Linked DNA regions of Schizosaccharomyces pombe. Changing the gene in region 2 together with the main gene of any one other region gives a genetic interaction. Each region holds a gene or a part of one and is shown on either strand. Other genes may lie near its edges.

What was found.
Region 1: mutations in otg2 (region 2) and gmh3 impair growth when combined (synthetic growth defect), as found in Schizosaccharomyces pombe (one study listed by BioGRID).
Region 3: mutations in otg2 (region 2) and gma12 impair growth when combined (synthetic growth defect), as found in Schizosaccharomyces pombe (one study listed by BioGRID).
Region 4: mutations in otg2 (region 2) and gmh4 impair growth when combined (synthetic growth defect), as found in Schizosaccharomyces pombe (one study listed by BioGRID).

Annotation. Positions count from the first base shown.
Region 1 is NC_003424.3:5,026,867-5,032,834, forward strand, and holds gmh3 (alpha-1,2-galactosyltransferase Gmh3), read right to left. Parts: upstream 3,548-5,968; 5' UTR 3,133-3,547; coding exon 2,134-3,132; 3' UTR 913-2,133; intron 862-912; 3' UTR 739-861; downstream 1-738. Other genes in the region: Rer1 family protein, read right to left, coding at 1-428, 482-541; RanGAP Rna1, read left to right, coding at 4,918-5,968.
Region 2 is NC_003423.3:3,119,843-3,124,917, reverse strand, and holds otg2 (alpha-1,3-galactosyltransferase Otg2), read left to right. Parts: upstream 1-2,469; 5' UTR 2,470-2,513; coding exon 2,514-3,632; 3' UTR 3,633-4,147; downstream 4,148-5,075. Other genes in the region: cytoskeletal protein Syp1, read left to right, coding at 1-714; tif306 (translation initiation factor eIF3f), read left to right, coding at 1,112-2,020; alpha-1,3-galactosyltransferase Otg3, read left to right, coding at 4,561-5,075.
Region 3 is NC_003421.2:314,610-319,995, reverse strand, and holds gma12 (Golgi alpha-1,2-galactosyltransferase Gma12), read left to right. Parts: upstream 1-2,143; coding exon 2,144-3,271; 3' UTR 3,272-4,169; downstream 4,170-5,386. Other genes in the region: msf1 (phenylalanyl-tRNA synthetase), read left to right, coding at 4,343-5,386. UniProt on the Schizosaccharomyces pombe protein: Involved in the O- and N-linked oligosaccharide modification of proteins transported through the Golgi stack. This occurs in cis Golgi where the enzyme transfers galactose from UDP-galactose to a variety of mannose based acceptors.
Region 4 is NC_003423.3:1,387,326-1,392,479, forward strand, and holds gmh4 (alpha-1,2-galactosyltransferase Gmh4), read left to right. Parts: upstream 1-2,210; 5' UTR 2,211-2,857; coding exon 2,858-3,768; intron 3,769-3,821; coding exon 3,822-3,897; 3' UTR 3,898-4,341; downstream 4,342-5,154. Other genes in the region: lipoic acid synthetase Lip5, read left to right, coding at 1-126; SPOM_SPBC8D2.16C (uncharacterized protein), read right to left, coding at 422-1,243, 1,287-1,412; SPOM_SPBC8D2.18C (adenosylhomocysteinase), read right to left, coding at 4,342-5,154.

The DNA.
Region 1 (5,968 bases), on a different chromosome or scaffold from region 2:
ATTTGTCGTCGAAAGCAGAAAAAAGAAAGTACAAGATAATAGACAACAAGAATAGGCCAAAACACAGGTACATCAAATATTCGGAAAAAGGACGCGACTAAGGCGAACAAGGTGGCACGCATGCTTGAATACCAAAACTTGAATTCTGGCAATCTACGAATAAAGGGTCGAAATTCATCGTCTTTGGAAGTAGGAAGAACTCCTTCTTCAATTTCTTCATCTTTCATTGCTTGCTCAACACTAGGATCGAATTTTGGAGTCAAGAACGCAAGGAACAGATTGAGCAGGTAAATGGCTAATGTATAGCAAACAATATACCAACCGCGAACCAGTAGAATCCTAATAAAAAATAATGCAATTAATCCACTAACAGTCAGCCATCTATACGTTGTATAAGGTATGGTTCGGTCCACCCAGTGTCGATACAACTAAAAACACGTTAGATTTTCTTCTTTTCTCAAGCTAATCAAGTTATTCTTACTCGAACTGCAAAGTTTTTCTTCTCTTTAACATTTTCTATATGACGCTGAATGAATTCCATGCTTAAATACTGTCAAACAGACGATAAAATGGTGGTTGGTAGTGAAGTGAAATATGTATTCAATTCAGACATATACGCGCTACTGCCAGACTCCATTTACCCCCTACACTAGAATACAGTATACATTATAATGTGTTATCGGTGAATGATATTATTAGTTTAAAGTAATATAACGATAAAGTAATAATTTGTCTCTACAGGACTCGAGAGCGGTAAGCGTGTAAAGAAAAGATTCAGTGATAATTTGGCAGTCAGAATTACTTTTTTTTTGAATAGATTAGTATAGTTACACCACGGTTACGTTTACCAATTTGAAGTTCCTAAATATGATCAACTCATTAACCGATTAGAAATTTAATGCATATACTTACCAATACGTTAAACTGTATACAGCTCACCTTCGACTTCATTAATTTTGCAGAAAAATGGCATGTCGATTTGGGTGTTTATGAAGAATTCATAGTAGTAAACGAGTCGTCAATTTGTTGGAAAAGTCAAGAGTAAAGATAATAATCTGAAGAATTTGTCTGGGTACTCTTTAACATTTACAACATGACACTTCTTCTTTCGATGCAAGCTTTTATAAAAAGGTTCATTAAGCAAATGTAGCGGAAATAACAACTAATGATCATTGAGTATAGCCGGTGCTGGACATCTCTAATAAAGCGATGTCAACTTCTATTTGAAATTAACGGCAAAGCTCTTTTCAAACCAGCCATGAATTTTGCAGTTATCATCAACCCTAACAGCATTATAATTTACACAAATGTAATATAATGCTTGTTTATTTTATTTCGAGGTTCATAAAGTCAGATAACGTATGCTTTTTCAATTCATGACAATCCTGCACAGCAAAATAATGTGACAAATCTACATTGAATAGCTTTAATAAAAGGAAAAAGAAATTAATGAATTCAGTCTATAAAAGTAAACCAGATCGACATTTATACGCAGATTAGATTGAAGACAAAGGCAAGGAAGAAATGTATAGAAAAAGACAAGATTGCAAGCATTGCCAACTTCCTAAACAAAAAAAAATACAAATATCAAACTTAGGATCAAGCGATATAACTTTACCTACCCAAATATCCACAGCTTTTTAGGAGTAATATCGATTATGTTTCACACAGGTAGCATAGATTCAATAATAATTGAAAAAAAGCCAAAGATTAAGTGCAATAAAACAAATATAATAAAAGATTGGTGGTTTCAGCCTTAAGCTTATGAATTAAACACAATTAATATTTGTCTGGGGCCTGCAAAACCACCTATAATATAAGTGTCACAATTAGTTTATATAGCAATGTATATTAGAAAAATTAAAGAAGGAATTAGATGATTATCCACCACCTCTGTAACAGAACACCGCATATAAAATAAACACATTCTTCCATTGAAAACAACCGTAACTAGCACGGTTAAGGAGGCAGACTATGCTTAGATAATATATACACATACATAGAGCATAATTGTATAGGTAATTATGTAAAAGGAGTGGCATCCAGTGGCTTGTGTATAATAAAAATAAAGACAAGATGAGGGGAAATAACCAAATGCATTAATAATGGTAATACTATTATTATTAATGCACATCAATGAACCCTCTCACGATATTCATCCCACAAAACCTGACAACGGTTCTCCACCCAACACCCAGCAAAATGTATAACCAAATGACCTTCTTTCCAGCCCATTTCCGGCTGGCCAACAGGGTAAGAATTAATAAGGGTTTGAGGTAAAATTCCTATTATAGCAGCAATTTCCGGGTGATATCTAACAAAATATCCCAAAAGGGCCTGTTCATGATCCGCAACCTTATTTTCTCTAAAGGATTTATCGCCCCATAAGTCCAAAAACAGAGCCATCATGGGCGACCTTCTAACAAAGAAACTTCCCGCGTTTAAGCCATTCAAATCTTGAGAAATCAATAGCCCTAAAGAACGAGCACTGTCAACAGTATAGGAACTTGGGGTGAGACGTTCGAGATCAGCACTAAATGGAGATATCATAGGTTCATTCTTCATTAACTTTTCCACTAAAACGTCAGGTGACAAAATATGTTCTTGAATAGAGAGTTCTGTGTTCAAAATTAACGCATCTTGGTCCAACCACCAAATCCATTTCGCATGAGGATGCTTATTCATTGTTTGTATAATAGCGGGCATTTTGGCCCACACTGGAGGAATGTTCATTTGGCTTACATTAACATATTCAAAGCCATAGTTGTGATGCTTTGCGTAGTTAATTCGGTTTTCTATGCATTGATTAAATGTTTCAGGTGCCATATTGCCACTTGAACGTCCATCACTCGCTAAGAGGATTACTATTTCATGGGATTTGGGCTCTTGAGGATCATCCTCGTTAATTGTCGCTTGATGATACGTCGTGCTAAGGCCTTGCATATCTTCATCCAGAGGTACTAAGTAGTCGTATTCTTGTACACTTGGTTTGGAAAATACATCTTGTAAACGTTCTAAAGCAGGTGAAGCAGAAAAAGAGTTTCCAAATTGGAAGTAAATGAGAAAAGAGCTAATCCCAATGATTAACAACACGAATATAACACGAGATAACTTCCACTGTAGGACTGCCATTTTAAAGATTAGCAGATGTTAAATGCAAATTAATAAAAAAATAAAAAATAAAATTTAGTCTTTTAGAGACAAGAGAAACTCTTTTTCAAGTTTCACAAATATAAACTGAGATTGGATAAAAGCAAAACAATAAGATACCAAGAATGGATCAGAAATTATGAATGAAATGGGAAACTTTCTACTCTTTCTCGGTAGAAAATTAGAAAGCCGTTTTAAAAATTAAAATGAGATTTGTGATATTCCAAAGAATACTACGTTTGAAACACGAATCTTCGCCCGTTGACTCAAGAAACGAGAGAAAACAGTAAAAAGAAATTGAAAATATAATGTAAATTATAATAAAAAAATATGAATGAATTAGATTCTTTAAAAAATGATTAACCAGATGGACCTGGAATTAAAGGCAGTGTGTAGTGGAAGGATTGAAATTACCGCATCATGGAGTCAATCATCATAAATTTACGGTTTCCTCTACTTATCGTATCCTATTTATAATAAAAGAAGAAAAAGAAGAAAAATCTGTATGGTAATGATTTATGTTCAAAATAATGAGTTGTTCCTTTAAAATCACGTTTCCAAACTTTTAATGACATGATTCACAGTACTTAAACATTTTAACCAGTTTTATACGTTGGGACAAATAACAGGAATGGCTTAATTCAGCAATACGTCTAAATCAATGTCATGATTGAATGGGAAAATAATCAAACGATTCAAATTGTTGAAACAGGTAAAGCAGATCAAGTACTGGAATGCGGACTGAAGTCCAATTCGAGAATGGTTACAACTATGAAATGAGAATTAATTTACTGAAAAGAATACAGTATCAATGGAATAGCTTTCCTGATAATGTGAAAGCTGTTTAAAGAGTATTCTATGTGTCTAGAGTGCAGACTCGTGGATTTTCACAGTAATGAATAAGAAATGTTAAACTAAAAATATCAATTGTTGTTATTATCTTGATTTTTCATATATCTGTTAAACTCCCGCTTTCCGATTTTCTTTTTGGGTCAACTCATAAATGTATATGTGTGAGTAACTGAAATGATCACGAAACAAGCGGAAAGCTGAAAGATAGGGATACTCATTTCAGATCTTTTTGATTCTTCATTTTTTGGAAGTCACCAAGCTCTTTTGGTCAATATTCCTTCGTTCAACTTCGTATTCTTATAAATGGACTAGCGATGAGGCAAAAATCTAGCAATGTTAATTGCTAGAAATGCAATTAAGTTAAAGCAAACTTAAGCTAAGAATTCAGGACTAAGGTCACTCAAAAAGGTTCTTCATAAGATCCTCTATACTTAGTCAAAAAAACAAACTATATGCAACAGGATTGTCACAGCTATTTTTTCAAAAATGAATGATAGATAAATGTCAAAAAAGCTCAATCATCCTATTTACAAAAGTTTTATACATGTCTTTCAGGAACGTATCCGAGCACTAATGCACCACTCCGACATTGAGTATCTTTCGGTTTGCGCTAATCTGATCTAATAATTTAAATGACTTCTAATAGCATAGAATCGTCTTAAAATTAAACTCATTAGCGAGAGATCGCATTTGAGTTTGTAAATAAAAACAGGTTGAGTAAAGGGGGTATCCGTCAAAAGAGGATAAATTTCGTTCTTCTTCTACTTTGAATATTATTTTAGTTTCTTTTTTAAAAGCCATGAATTCAAGTGACTGAAGCATCTATCCTCGATCAAATTTAACATACACAGCTAGTTCACACAATCTTTCCTCACCACCATACCTGCTATATTTTTTCTTTCAACAACCAACTCCATGTCGCGTTTTTCAATAGAAGGGAAGTCTTTGAAATTAGATGCAATTACAACTGAAGACGAGAAGTCTGTATTTGCTGTTCTGTTAGAAGATGATTCTGTAAAGGAAATTGTATTGTCTGGTAACACAATTGGAACCGAAGCTGCTAGATGGTTGTCAGAGAATATTGCCTCAAAAAAAGATTTAGAAATTGCAGAGTTTAGTGATATCTTTACTGGACGTGTCAAAGATGAAATTCCTGAGGCTTTACGTCTGTTGCTACAAGCTTTACTCAAGTGCCCAAAACTACATACTGTAAGATTGAGCGATAATGCCTTTGGCCCTACTGCACAGGAGCCCTTGATTGACTTTCTTTCAAAACACACACCTTTGGAGCATCTTTACCTACACAATAATGGACTCGGTCCTCAAGCTGGCGCAAAAATTGCTCGTGCCTTGCAAGAGCTGGCGGTCAACAAGAAAGCTAAAAATGCACCTCCCTTGCGTTCCATTATTTGTGGAAGAAATCGTTTAGAAAATGGGAGTATGAAAGAATGGGCTAAAACTTTCCAGAGCCACCGTTTGCTACATACAGTGAAAATGGTGCAAAATGGTATCCGTCCCGAAGGTATTGAACACTTATTGCTTGAAGGATTAGCATATTGCCAAGAGCTAAAGGTACTCGATCTTCAAGATAACACATTTACGCACTTGGGCTCTAGCGCTCTCGCTATCGCGTTGAAAAGCTGGCCCAACCTTCGAGAACTAGGCCTCAACGATTGTCTCTTATCTGCTCGCGGTGCTGCCGCAGTTGTAGATGCTTTTTCTAAATTAGAAAATATTGGGCTTCAAACGTTACGCTTACAGTATAACGAGATAGAGCTGGATGCTGTCCGGACCCTAAAAACTGTGATTGATGAGAAAATGCCGGATCTTTTATTCCTTGAATTAAATGGAAACAGATTTTCGGAAGAAGACGATGTTGTTGATGAAATACGTGAAGTCTTTAGCACCCGTGGTCGTGGTGAACTAGATGAGCTTGATGATATGGAGGAACTTACCGACGAGGAGG
Region 2 (5,075 bases):
ATGAAATATACCTCGGATTTTAATACCCCTCCTCCTGAAATGGGTGTTCGCGTTGCGTCTGAATTTCCTATGTCTTTTACTCATTTAAATGACCATGCAGTAAAATATGGACCCTCAGAAAACACACTTTCTTTAATACCAGAGCTACTTCTCTCACCAATCAAAGTCACTGATTTTAATCTACATCTTGATAGTATTAACGGTGCTAGTTGCATTCCATTGACAGTTGTTCAGAAATGGAAGCATGATGAAAGCAGTAGTAGTATGATTGCATTTGTGAAGCCTAATCCTGTGTGGAGGAACTTAGGCTCATCTCTTCATATTGAAAAACTTGTTATCATCGTTTACTTGGGGGAAAATGTCCTTGTAAAAAGCTGTCAAAGTTCTCCGGCCGGAGAATTTAGCAGGAAAACTAGTAAACTTAAGCTACATCTTTCGAACATTAATATATCTTCGTCTGGATTTAAAATTTTAGCCAAGTTTGCGATTAGTCCTAGTGCTGCTATTAGAAAGCCAGTTATCGAGTTCCGTATTCGCATGGTTGATTCCTCTAATAACCCTGGTCTCACCAAATTGTTTTTGAAACCAGATATGTTTGATACTACTTCTTCTAGTGGAGGTTCTCAGCTAGAAAGTGCTTATGAAGAAACGAAGGTTCCTACTTCCTATGGTATTCATGTTCGTGAGTGCTCTGTTTTTGCTGATATGAGTTAAATTACTGTTCATTATTAGTCAAGAAAAAGCAAACTGCTTTTTTGGGTTTTATGTTTACACTTTTTTGCTAACCGAATTTTTTGAACATTGTATATATATATAAATGATTTTTAACCAGAGAATGTACAAATGTAAATAGTTATAGAATTTTGAATAAAGAGTTTCTCATTATTGTACGTACAAATGAGACATTGTTAAGGAGATTTTTTAGATTATTCAACGCAACTGAAAATACACTTTCTTAAATGGTAAACCTTAGAAGTTAGGCGAAAAATAGTGTCTTCAATTTAACGAATTCTATGAGACTGTAAACTAGTACAGTAAAATTATTATTGATTGGGGAACAATACCAGATCTACCTACCTGAGAGTAGCCAACAACGTGAAAATTTTAAAAAATGGCTTTGGGGACTAAGCACGTACTCCATCTCACAAAACCGTCTTCCAGGTCAAGTCCTTTGAACATTGTCATTGAACCAGCAGTGCTTTTTTCTATCCTTGACCATTCAACCCGGAAAAGTGAAAATAATCAACGTGTTATCGGTACACTTTTGGGAACACGTTCTGAAGATGGCCGAGAAATTGAGATTAAAAGTTGTTTTGCAGTTCCTCATAATGAGAGCAGTGAGCAGGTAGAAGTTGAAATGGAATATCATCGTGCGATGTACCATTTACACCTCAAGGCTAACCCTCGTGAAGTTGTCGTTGGTTGGTATGCTACTTCTCCTGATTTAGATGCTTTCAGTGCACTGATTCAAAATTTATATGCTTCTCCTGCTGAACCCGGAACTGCTCCACTAGGAACGTATCCTCATCCCTGTGTTCACCTTACTGTCAACACAGATGTTAGCAGTCCCCTTGCCATCAAGACTTACGTTTCTTCACCAGTAGGTATTACAGAGCGCCTTGCTGACAGCTGTGCATTCGTCCCTACCCCTTTTACCATTCGTGATGACGAGGCAGTCCGTTCTGGTTTGAAAGCTGTAGCTGCTCCTAAGAATGACCCATCTAGACTTGCTAGCCTATTCACAGATCTCCAGCAACTTCGAAGATCAACCTTGGAGCTTTTATCTATGATTGAAAGAGTTTCCGATTATGTGCAAAACGTAATTGATGGTTCTTCGCCTGCTAATGTTGCTGTCGGTAGATATTTGATGAAGTGCTTTAGTTTAATTCCTTGCGTAGAAGGCCAAGATTTTGAAAAAATTTTTTCATCACATCTTCAAGATGTTTTGGTTGTAGTTTATCTCGCAAATACCTTACGTACTCAAGTGGATATTGCTTCCCGTCTTAATTTGCTTCCCTAAGCAATTGTTATAACCTAAAAAATCCGGACAATTTCTAACAGTTGTTCGATAGCCCTTTTTTCAAGTCACCGTTATTTTATCCTTTTTTCACACTGGCTGTTAACCCTCAGTGGAAGCAACTGTCTTTATCTCGTCATTCACCCATTTCGACATAGTTTGAGTAGCTTAGCTTGTCGGTAACTATTTAGTATTATACTATAATTGGTTTAGGTTAAACGTCTTATTAAATAAGAGAAAATTTTAAGTCAGAGTCATGTATCTTAACATTTCTTATAGTTAAAATAGTAAGCTTGTTTAATTTTTAAACATTTGATGTTTTTACGTTATAAAGTCGATTTAATTATGTTATTTGTTTTTCAGGGTGTTGAGTTTGTTTTGGTATTGAAAGTAAGCAAAATGTGTATGATGCACCAACAAACATTAAGGGAGTATGTAGAGTAATTCTCTCCGAAAGCACCACCATTTTATAATTTGGCAATCAATTGCCATTAAAATGCGTTTATATTTTAGTGCTTTTCGCCATCCCAAACGACTAGGACTGTGTTTACTGATTACCTTGAGCATTATTTTATTAGGTTGGCAATGTGTTTTGCTATACAATCATAGTCCAGAAATACAAAGGTCAGTTTACACACTGACAGGGTTGGCGCCCTCTTCTAAGATGGCATTTGTAACTATGCTTACTGTACGCGCCGCTAATGGGGAAAACGAAGTAGAAAATACGCAACAGGATTGGTATTATAATTCAACTAGGCTTCTCGTTCACCGACTTGTCAAATTTAAACCTACGAAAAGCAAGTATCCCGTTGTAGTGCTAGCCATGAAGGGAATTGATCAGTGGAAGCTTGATCAATTGCAGGAAGACGGAGCTATTGTTAAAGTAGTCGATCCACTATATGCTCATGAAGTGGTTGACGATGTCAATGACATTGCCCTACTGGATTCCCGATGGAGTATGATGTTTACCAAGTTGAGAGTTTTCGAAATGTACGAATATGATAGAATATGTTTTCTTGATAGTGATATTTTGCCTATTAAAAAAATGGACAAAGTTTTTGATGTTCACCAACTCTCCTATAGTAAGGATTCTGTTCTGTTTCCTCCCACCCTATTCTACAAGCCTAGGCGCAGCATTTTTTGGAGACGCTTTACAGAAGAGTTTGCAGCTTACGGGCTGACAAGAGACGATCTTTATCCCTACGTTTTCGCTGCTGTGTCCGATCCAGGTATGTGGCATGAAACTCCTCCTCCTTTTAAAGATTATTTTAATGCTGGTCTATTCGTCTTTAAGCCATTGAAGGCACATTATAAAAGGTTAATGGCATTAGCAAGGTTTCCAAAATTGTATGATAATGCAAACATGATGGAGCAAAGTTTGCTAAATTTTGCATACAATTCAGCAGGTGCTTTTCCATGGGAGTCACTTGATTGGACTTTTAACGGACTTTGGGCTAGAAAAAATGACTTACCATATCTAAAAGCAGTTCATGGAAAACATTGGCAACCAGAAGGAAGTCTAGGTTATGATGAAGACACATCCAAGCTATGGTGGGATGCGTTTCAAGAAATGCAAACGTATCATGACCAACAACGTAATGCTGATTTATATTAAACAGATGAAAGCAATTTTCATGTCGTGATCAAGTAAAAAATAAGGCGGCTTTTGACTTTTAAGAAGCAGTTATTTTCATTTAATGTATTGCTGACAACACGTACTGTTGAAAGGCTATCTCATTTTTACAGTCATTCTAAAATAATTTGTGTTTCCTCCGTCCTTTTTTAAAACCACTATACTATTCAAATTCATATACACGATCGATGGGATTCTGGATACAGGTAAACCATAATCAAAAAAATAGCTTCCTCTCTGTATGCAAATTAGATCACGTATGTTTAAAACTCACTGAAAGTTCAATGGTTTCAAGAAATTTTGCTCCTTCTTAAAAAATTCCTAATTAGTGTAAAGAATCAAGTGTTAGTCCTATCATCAATTTTAAAATTGTAAGCAAACATGTTATAAATGCTTTTTCTTTGACCAAAGGAAAACCAACGGATTTATATAAAAATTGCTAATTAGTGAGCATACGTATCCTTAGCATGTTTTTCATTTTTAGATTTCAATAAGACATTTGAAAATGTTTTAGGTAGCAAATCTATTTAAAAGTTGTTTTAAATATATATATCAAAGAAGGCTTGGTTTTAGATAGAGTGAAGATGGGATAGAAAATATCAATAGCAAGTAATTGATAAATTTTTTAAACCTTTTAATGTCAAATAACAAGTACTGTAAACTCAAATAATCTTAAAATTTTACATGAAAAACTATACTTCGTACGCATTACATCGTACCTTTAGTCTCCTAAATTGTAGTCAGCCACTACCAAACTCAATAATACAAACTACATTATATTTATTGTATTAAACCTAGCAAGTCTTAACGAGATATAGTCAGTTATAATCCTAGGGTTTTTATTATTCTGGTGGGGATTTTATAGCTATAAACGAAGTTGCGGAAAGCGATAAAATTTGCTTTATAGAATATGAATTTCTTTAAGCGGTTACGCTTACATACCAGGCTTCTACTTCGCTCAAAATTTGTCTTGATTTCACTAATTCTTTTGCTGAATTTGGGTTTACTTTTAGGGATCCAAATATATCGGGATCCCGCATTTCCTGGATCGCTAATTTCATCGGCAGCCTATGAATTTGGGCTTCATAAGCATGGCCCATATTATAACGATAATGTAGATGATTTAAAAAGGTATACATTTATGGGCTTACTTACCCTTCCTACTTCAGAACATGATGTATACTTCAATGCTACTCGAGTACTAGTATACAAGCTGAAACATCATCCTGAAACGAAAAGTAAATATCCCGTTCATGTCCTTGTTATGAAAGGGGTTGATGAATGGAAAATTGAACGATTGCGACTTGATGGGGCCGAAATAATTATGGTCGATCAAATTAAAACTGAAGACTTAATTGAAAGTGGTTTGTCTATTGGCATGGGCAGTTATCGTTATCAATACATGTTCACAAAACTCAGTGTATT
Region 3 (5,386 bases), on a different chromosome or scaffold from region 2:
AAGCAACTCTTTAAATGTAATATTTAAAGGGAGTTTCTTCAGTTCGTTTTTTTGCAGCAAAACTTTTGATTGCGGTGATTCCAGTATTATTTACTAACCATCGCATGCCAGAGCGATATCTTTTTACAGCAACCATAACTCGGTTTCTTATTATCTTTAACGATAACCTAGATGGTCTTTGATTTTTCATTACACACTCTCATAATTAGCACGTTAAAGAAGCTTTGGAAAGCTGAGTGAGCATTGCAAAAAAATTTTAAATGGAAGTAGACAAATTGACTCTTTTCTGCAATGTTCGGAGGAAATAGTTCCTTTCTGTATAATCCTTATTTGAAAGTTTAGGATTTGCGGAACCCTTTTTTTTCTTTTCCACCCGGTCCGATAGTTGTAAAGGGGACAAATTTATTTTTGTCCGTTTACAAAAATAAAGAAGTAAAGCAGTGTAACTAAAGGGGAAAACATTGAGTTTTATGGTAAAAGATCCTATGTTCCATTAAACATCGAAAAAGGTTTGTTGGCTTTGAATTTGAATGAAGTTACATGCAGTTAAGTTAGCGAAACGATCGATTGGAAATTCCTAAACAATCGGTATGGTATGGGATGGGACTAAATAATTGGAGGAACTTGCTATAAGGTAATTAATAATATAAAGAAGCCGATAATATACAGTATGGTAATAGAAACAAAGCAATGAATCTTGCTCAGTCATTACTAGTTTGCTCTCTAGGGTTAAATTAGTTGGATCAGTAATTTTCAATCGAAACAAAAATATTTAAATAAATACGAATTATGCTTTACTTAGATTTATTATTGTTTTATTTTTATTTATTGCTCTTTTCATCTTTTTTAGAAGTTTTATTGTCTTTCATGTTTGGAATAGAATTTTTTCCCATTAAGCGGCAGTACTAAAAAAAAATTATTTCGATGTCTTTTAAAACCTGAATGATACTATTATATCTCTTTAAACTACTTTTATTTCTAGCACTTGCCATGTTGTTTTGTAATATTGGCTTTACCAGCCATTTGACTTTTTCTTTGTTTACACTAACATCACCGCACCAAAGCGTCAAGAATTTACTGCAGAATTTTACCAAAGAATGTAGAAACTAATTTTCTTTGGAAATTCGGGATTGCATCGATGCACAAGTCACTGACTTCTATAAATACAATTGTTTAGCAAGCTCCCTTTTTTTATTTTCAATAACAGGTAACACGTTTGGCAGGTAACAAGGAGACAATTAATCCATCACTCCAGAAACATATTAGCATTCCCCCCCGATTTAAACCTGGCCTTAACTTACCACCAATTTTTTTTTGCTTAAGGCAATTGGTTTTGTGTTTGTTAACATTCTAATTGTAAGACCTTGACGAAAAACTGGTTTTAAAGGATTTTTTACTGAGCTAATTTATTCGTTTATACGGGCTTTGTTCATTTCGCTTTTGGTAATCTCACTTTTTTTTGGTTTCCAGAGGCATTTTTAAATTTCAATACTTTTTCTTGAGTTTTTGATTTTTGCTTTCTTTTTAGTTTTGCGTTGACAAGTACTGAATTGTAATCTTTATCGTGGATTTAATTAGATTCAAGTGATTTTTAACACCTACATTGCCAAGTAGTATTAAAGTATTCATTTCATTGGTTTGGACTAGTTATATACTTCAAACTGGTGTTTACTTCCTTCTTTCGCTTCTTTTTCTTTCTAAACTTTGCTATATTTTGCCTTCGTTCGTTAGGTTACTATTTATTTACAAATTGAACCTTTTCATATAGGTTCTCTACAGGGATTTTCTTACCATTACTTATTGTAACAGATTTCTTAGTTGAGAGAATATTTTCACTTGGGGGGGTTTTTTTTCTTTTTAATTCACCACACGTATCTAGGTTTTCTACATTCTCTTGGATACAATCTCTTTTATTGCACAGAATCTTCTTTGATTTTCGTCTAATATTCCTACTGTCGGTTCTTTTACCCTTCCTGTTTCTACTTTTTAAAAGCTCTCATATATCACTCATCACCATCCTTTCTCTAATTTTATCTTTCGTTCACTGCTTAATTTTGCATTTCTAAGGAAATTCTCCGTTCCTTTATCATTTTATTTTATTTTGTCTCTTCTATATTATTAGTTTACTCTTGATTATTTGACAATGCGGTTCGCTCCTTATTTAATTAGTGCTGTTGTAATTACAACCATAATCCTGGGTGGAGCTTGGTGGACTTCAGCTATGGATACCAAGCTTCAAACGAAGATGAAGGAGATCATCGACCAACACACGAGTACTTGGACCCCAGTCGTTTCCTCCGTAACCAGTACCCAAACTGATACTTTACGTGTTACCATTAGTGAAGTTGTTAGTGTTACTGCCACTTTAACCGAAACTTTCACTGCTACTCCAACTGTCACTTCTGTAGTTCATGCTTTAGCTACCACTGATCCTCATCCGGATAACTCTAAAATCGTCATTTTGATGGGCTCTAACTTTCAAAATGATGCTAACTCTCCTCTCCATCCTTTCGCTCAGTCCATTATCAAAAATCGTCGTGAATATGCTGAACGCCATGGTTACAAATTCGAATTCTTAGATGCCGATGCCTATGCTTCTCGTGTTACAGGTCATTTAATGCCCTGGGTTAAGGTCCCTATGCTTCAAGATACGATGAAGAAATATCCTGACGCTGAATGGATTTGGTGGCTTGATCATGACGCGTTGGTCATGAACAAAGATCTTAACGTCGTCGACCATGTGCTTAAGCACGACCGATTGAATACCATTTTAACTAGGGAGGCTGAATATAAGAGTGGTGCAGGTATCCCCGCCGATGGATTTAGAACTCCAAAGGATCAGGATGCTAAGGATGTTCATTTCATCATCTCTCAAGATTTTAATGGTATTAACGCTGGCAGTCTTTTTATTCGTAATAGCGAAGTTGGCCGCTGGATTGTTGATTTGTGGTTTGAACCCTTATATTTGGATCATATTCAGGGATATGCTGAGCAACAAGCGTTTTCTCACATGGTATTTTACCATCCCCAGGTGTATAAACATGTAGGTGTTGTCCCACTTAAGGCTATAAACGCATATGATTTTGATGATAATATTTGGGGCTATGACGACGGGGACTTGTGTATCCATTTTGCTGGATGTAACTATTTTAAGAATTGTCCCGAGAAGTTCCTTAAGTATGCTCAAATTTTATCTTCTAAACAAGGATCCGATTGGATGTCTGCTCAAGAAAAGGATCATATTCAAAATCTTTTGAAACCATCATCCTAGTTTTTTTCAGTCACGCATGGAAAAATACCTTGTACTTTAGACTGGTTTAATTTCATGATATTTGTCATTTTACTCAAGAACAACGTCTGTCCAGTATGTTGGTAGTTTTCTCAATTTTTTATTATCGGGGATAAGCAAACTCCTTCTTTCATTACTAATCAAGTCATTTAATTATCCTCCCCTCCTTAGTGAACACCTTAATAGTTTCTCCCTTTTCATGATTTCATGAGCTTAGTATCATTACGTTCAGGACCTTCTAATTTCGTGTTGGAGGATTTTAGTGTTGTCTAATCTATTTCCTTTTCTAAAGTCAAGTTTTGTATCGTACTTTAAGTACAAAGTTCGAGTTTTGCTGTTACGCTTCAAACCGTTTTATTTAATTTTTAAACCCCAGCCTTTCTTGGAGTAAAATGTTAGTAGATGACAAACTTGTTAGGGGTTTGAATGAATTTTCATACGCAGAATGCTGCTTTCTTTAAAATCGGGATGATTTGAAATGTTATTTGAAATGTTGAGTTTTTTGTAGCCTACATTACGATTGTACGGCTTATAGGACAGTGAAGCTATTAAATACTTGATCTAATATGACCGATTACAAGAAAGTCCTTGATAATTTTTCTGCACTTCTTTTGAAGTTGGCAACTTTATGTACAGTATGATGCTCTATCTTTCTAAATAAAGTTATGTCAGGAGTCTTATGGAAATAAAATTTGCAATTCGTCGTAATGAAATCCATTTGAGTGATAATGGCTTTTGAAATTAAAGCATATATTTTTTTTATGCAAAAACAATGAATGAAATATTTGTAAACTGACCAAATCTATAAACCACTGCTTGAAAATTAAACGATTCGAATTTTACTCCTTTGTTCATTGTATCCAAGAACGGCACAACCCCTATATTTGGGTACTATCATTTTTTTACTTTCAAATGGGACGCAATTAAGACCGATTGATTGAATTCTATTAAATTATTATTATATATTAATTTTAAAAATAGTTAGCTTCGTTGTTCTAATTTAAATTATCATTGTTTGATTACAAAAAGTGAAGTGTGTTATTTAAGAAATCAATGTTCCCTCATCGAGTCTCTCATTTATCGAAACTATTTTCGAGAAGGTTTCCCAATTGGAAAAGAAAAGTCCAAACAGATTCTTGGTCCAATGTCCCAGAGCATATTCACTCAAAAATTGGTCGAAACCTTTTTCAAAAAGAAGGTCATCCCATATGCAGTCTACGACAACTTCTCGAACAGCAATTTCAAAAATTCGAAATGAATAATGTTCAAAAAGAATCACCTATTGTTTCTGTAGAGACGAATTTTGATTCTTTAGGATTTCCCAAGACACATGTAAGTAGAAGCAAATCCGATACTTACTATATGAACAATAAAACTTGTCTTCGAACCCATACCTCGGCTCATCAACCTGAAGAGTTCTCTCGCTTGGCCAAAGAAGGATTTAAGAAAAATGGTTTCTTAATAACCGCAGATGTATACCGTCGCGATGAAGTGGATTCTAGTCATTATCCAATTTTTCATCAAATGGAAGGTGCATTGGTGTGGAACAGAAATGATACTGCAAAAATGAAAAATGATCTAAAAAAAGTAGCTCTTTCTCCATCTCTTAAGTCAATGGTGGATGATGAAACTACTGCATTAGAAACTCATAATGACATGCAAGATATTTATTCACTTGAAGAGACAAAATTTGTTTCCCAACATTTAAAGGATACTCTGACCACCGTGATTCATGACCTGGTATCACTTGCTCCTTCTATTTCTTCCGGAGCTGAACAGGTTCGGTATCGTTGGACGTACGACAGTTTCCCCTTTACCAAGCCCTCGTTTCAGTTAGAAATTGACTGGAAAGGAAAATGGCTTGAAATATTAGGATGTGGGGTCGTCCAGGATAGGCTGCTTAAAGGTGCAGGATTAAATAACTACATTGGTTGGGCTTTTGGAATTGGTCTTGAACGTCTCGCAATGATTTTGTACGGTATTCCTGATATTCGGCTTTTTTGGTCACTGGATGAACGATTCTCGAAGCAATTCTTGCCTAACAAGATTAGCACTTTTAAGCCTTTTAGTAAATACCCAGCATGTTTCAAAGACATT
Region 4 (5,154 bases), 1.7 Mb from region 2:
GAGAAATTAGGATTCTTATACGTGGCTAGTGGTCCACTTGTTCGTAGTAGCTATAAGGCTGGCGAATATTTTATGGAGAATCTTATTAAAAAGAGATCAGGAAACCCTGCTTCTATGAGTGTTTAAACATGGCTGCTTATCTAGGTACACTCGATAGGAGTTTGTCTTCAACAGAATTACCCTTTTTTGCATTGACTCGAATCATCTTTTAAATTTTTTTATTCTTTATTTCAACAATACACTCTTAGATATAATTTTAATCATAATAATTCTCGTCTTAGTTTCTAATATCGTCTTTATACCCAAGTTATCCTTATAATTTATCATATTCAAAATTGATTTTGTTTTCCTTGATTAGCGAGACAGCTTTATAATATTTAAGTAAGAAAAAGACAGCTTCACCTTTGTAAGTATTTAGGCTTTATCGTCGTCCATGCATCAGCAACATATCTGACAAACGGGTCATGGCCGCCAAAAGTATCTCTTCAGGAATGGGATCATTTAGAAAAGAAACTGGGAATGGGTTAAAAGAAATACTTTTGGCAGTGGAGTCTACGAGCTCTTTTTGTACGACATTGTCTTGTAAAACAAGAACAGCATGCCGAAACGAACTTGGTAAACTCGCTTCTAACTCTTTTGAAGTAATAGCTGAAGTCTGACTGTTGATTTGAACAACAAAGTCATATCCACCTTTGTAAGGAGAACTTTTACACAGCTGAGAAGAAAGACATGACCGCACCTTGTAACCCCAATAATGACCACCTTTTTCTCGTGGAGCTGAAAAAGACACGATATCACCTTGAAGCTGGCCTTCTTCGTTTGGAGACTGCGCTTTTAATCGAACCGTGACCCTTGTTCTAGGAGCAAGGACGCTGGGGCTGGAAACGATTACATTGTGAGATAGTCCAGCATTTATAATATATTTATTCTTTGCTTGCGGAGATGGATGAGTAACGATTCCCTCTCGGTATGGGAATTCAATATTCACTGTGCTAGCCTTGTCATTTCTGAGGGGAAGTAATGGAAAGCAGCTAGTATATTTTAGATGTGGATTTAGTGGAAACAATTCCTTCCTCATAAAGAAAGGCGTTTCGAAATAGCATAATAAGTCCGTGAGAAATTTTGTGGGATCCTTTAAATAAGCATCAGAGGAAAGTGTATGTACCTGGGTGTTTTGCACATATTCAGGGTCCTCTAGCAAAATAATTTCGTCAATACCATATAGAGAAACTATTCTCGAAATCTATATTTTGAGTTAATACGCGACAACAACGAATCTTTCAAACCTTCCAGACAAAACTCGTTTTAAGCTGCAAATTGTATGCTACATTTAGACTTGAAATAGGTAATGCTAAAGATATCGTATATCGTCTCGTTGGTGGTAAGCTTTGTATTTCGCTTTCTTTTTCCATAGCAGTTTCTGTAAGCAATTAATGAGAAGTAATAATATGGCCCAAGTAGCAGTATTTTATTTACTTTTTGCTGTCTTGGGAAACAGAATATTAGGATTTGGCTTTTTATAAAAATTTTAACGTCTTAAAAAGTTGGTGAAGAGTAAAGGCATGAATTTCATTTACCAGGCTAAAAACCGTCCATTTAATATAATTAAACTAATTTTAAATTTTTTTTGAAGTATTGATCAAGGTAAAGGGATATTTTATATCAATACTTTTATTGATAGGTAAAAAAAAAAATCCTGTACTTCATAAACAATGAAAAAAATTCAAACAAACAAATGTGTTTAATGCCATTCAATGAGTGCGATTTAAACTATCAATGAGTCTTCGTAAATACCAAAGGGCTATAGAATCCCCTTTTTTTTTTTTTTTTTTTTTCTTTATATGGAAATAATAAAAAAAATGGTGTACACTTTGCTTGCAATTTATATAAACCAACTATACACGCCGAAGCTTGTATATAACCGCTGTAAAAATTTGTTAGTAGAAAAAACAAGATGATATTTTATTAATTACATACATAATTTTTTAAGTCAATAGAAGTTCATCGACTCTGATTCAATTCATCTTCAATCTTACTCTATTTACTATTTACTTTTATGATTTTCGCTATATAATGAGTAGCACCGGGTATAACGCTATAACAGTTTAAAGTATAATTTCAATATCACTAAAAAAATCTAAAAACACGTTAGAGTACGTTAGGTAGGATGCATCGTACACGTTAATCAAAATCCTTCGAATGTCGAACACGCAGACTACAAATACAGCCAAGTTGCTGCCAATTATAAAAGCAACGTTTCTCTGCTCTTAGTACGTGGTTGGGTGGATCCTGATTTCTGTAAAAATCATATTCAATATCAATAACCAGTCCATCTTGACTCGTAGTCTTTGAAACGGTGTAAAAGGATTGTTGTCAGGATAAGCTATAATCTATTGTTGTTTAAATTGTAGAATCTTCCTCTTTTTTAAATATCGCCGATATAGCTTGACAAAAAGGCTCATTTTGAAAGCTAGGCGTTGTGTTCTCGCAAGGTTTCTTTCATTATCCGGTTTTTCGTATTTCTTAGTGAAAACGCCCTCTGTAACATCTTTACTGTTTTAATTTTCGGATATACTCGCGTATATATCGTTGGATCATTTATTTGCATTTAAAAAAGGGCCATATATATTCCATTTTCTTTACGACCCAGATCTTTATACCTTTTTTTCTCTTCTCTATTTATACCTTCTCGATTTACAGATATTCTCTTACCTTCTTTTCTACATTATTTGCACATTTAAAAAACCCCTAAGGTTTATTCTTTTAAACCGTTATCTTGTTCCATAGACGCGCATAACCAACTCATTTTTTCTCGCAAACTGTTTGTTTTGCACTTTTTTACTTTGTATTCTGCAAGATGTTCAACTTTCGTTTATTTTCTCGTAGAGGAAAAAGTTTAGGTCTCTTGGCCATCGTTTTATTGCTTTTTGGCTTTTATTCTTTAAAGTCTTCAATGCCTGTTTATTCCAATTCGATTGGTTCTCCCAGTGCCCATTCCTCTTCATACAAAGGTGTTTCTAAGGCGAAAACATCTCCACAAGATCCTGATTCCGTAGTCATGTTGATTGTTAGTTTTGACGACCATTATGATTCAAGTAGATCTGACTCCAGCTCTGTCTTCCTGGATAAAGTGCTTTCTGATCGTACAGAGTATGCCTTGCGTCATGGCTATACCCTAGTCCACAAGAAAGCCCGCGATATTCAAGCGAGGTATGGTGTCTATGGTACTTGGAGTATTATCCCAGCTTTGAGGGAAACTTTGGCTGAGTATCCCGACGCTGGCTGGATATGGTTGCTCGATGCAAAGGCTGTTATAATGAATCCTTCCGAATCTCTCAAGGATAGGGTCTTGAAACCAGAAAAACTGTCGCAGCATTTGCTTCTTAATTCTCCGATCGATCCATTAAAGAACTACATCCGTACACGCCGTAAAATGGATCCATCTGATGTATTTGTAATTACCACCAGTGATTATAATGGAATTAGTACGCGTTCTTTGCTTATTAAAAATAACAACTTTGCGCCATTTCTTTTAGATGCTTGGAATGAACCTTTGTTGAAATCCGCCGGTTTTGATCAAGCTGAGCGATCTGCGCTATCCCACTTATTGGAAGCACATAACACTATCTTGGATCATGTTGCACTTGTGTCTCCTAAAGTTTTAAATTCATACACCAACTCTGCGGTCGATTTGAATTACGAAGAAGGTGATTTCTTGGTTATTCTTCAGGACTGTGAGAACGCTGCTGCATGCGAGCGTATATTCGAGTATGTATTCTATTTATCATCTTGGTCTCTTGTATTTTTACTAACACTTCCAGCAACTACTATCAACAGAGAAAACTTCCAGCCATTAAAAAGCAGCTTTCGGAAGAAACGGTTGATGAACAATCGTAGGTTAGTACTGTCTTAGCATCTTACTTTCATTTCCAGTAACTCATCTTCATCTAAACCTATCTTTCAAATTCGGTGGTTTGCATATTCCTACATTAATTTAATGAATTTATACTTAATTTCCTTTGTTTGATCAAGGGAAGATATGTTTTTCGTTTACGGAAATACATCGCAGATTGGTTTACAAGTCAAGCAATTCATATGTTATATTCATCAAATCTTCTTAATGAAAGCACGTTAATTGCTATTCTATGCAAAGAAAGAAACATTTATTATGTTTGACCTGAAATCCACATAAACCCAGTTGAATAACATTAATGCATTTCATGGCGACATAGAGACATAGATGCTGTTGAAACATCACTCATGCAAAAAAAAGAGGCTGAAACATTTTTAAAGTAATTATAACTTCAAAATAAATTCTATAAACTAAATGATAAGAATAGATTAGTAACGATAGTGATCAGCCTTGTAAGGACCGTCAACAGGGATACCCAAGTAGTCGGATTGAACAGAAGTCAAAGTAGTAAGTTTGACACCGAGTTTACCCAAATGAAGACGGGCAACCTCCTCATCCAACTTCTTGGGAAGCATATGAACACCAAGAGGATAGCTGGTGTTATCGGTCCACAAAGCGATTTGGGCAAGGACCTGGTTAGTGAAAGAGCAGGACATAACAAAAGAGGGATGTCCGGTGGCACAACCAAGGTTAACGAGACGACCATCAGCTAAAAGAATGATATGACGACCGTTCTTCAATTCATAACGATCAACCTGGGGCTTGATGTTAACAACATCCTTAGCGTTAGCCTTCAACCAAGCGACATCGATCTCGACATCAAAATGACCAATGTTACAAACGATAGAGTCCTCCTTCATTTCGTTGAAGTGCTCACCACGAATAATGTCACGGCAACCAGTGGTGGTAACAAAGATTTGACCTTCCTTAACAGCCTCTTCCATAGTGGTGACTTCGAAACCGTCCATAGCGGCTTGAAGGGCATTGATGGGATCGACTTCAGTGACAATGACACGGGCACCTTGGCTACGAAGAGAAGTTGAACAACCTTTACCAACATCACCAAAACCAGCAACAACAGCAACTTTACCAGCAATCATAACATCAGTGGCACGCTTGATACCATCCACCAAGGACTCCTTGCATCCAAAAAGATTGTCAAACTTGGACTTGGTAACAGAGTCGTTAACGTTAATAGCAGGAACCTTAAGCTTGTTCTCCTTGAACATTTTGTACAAGTT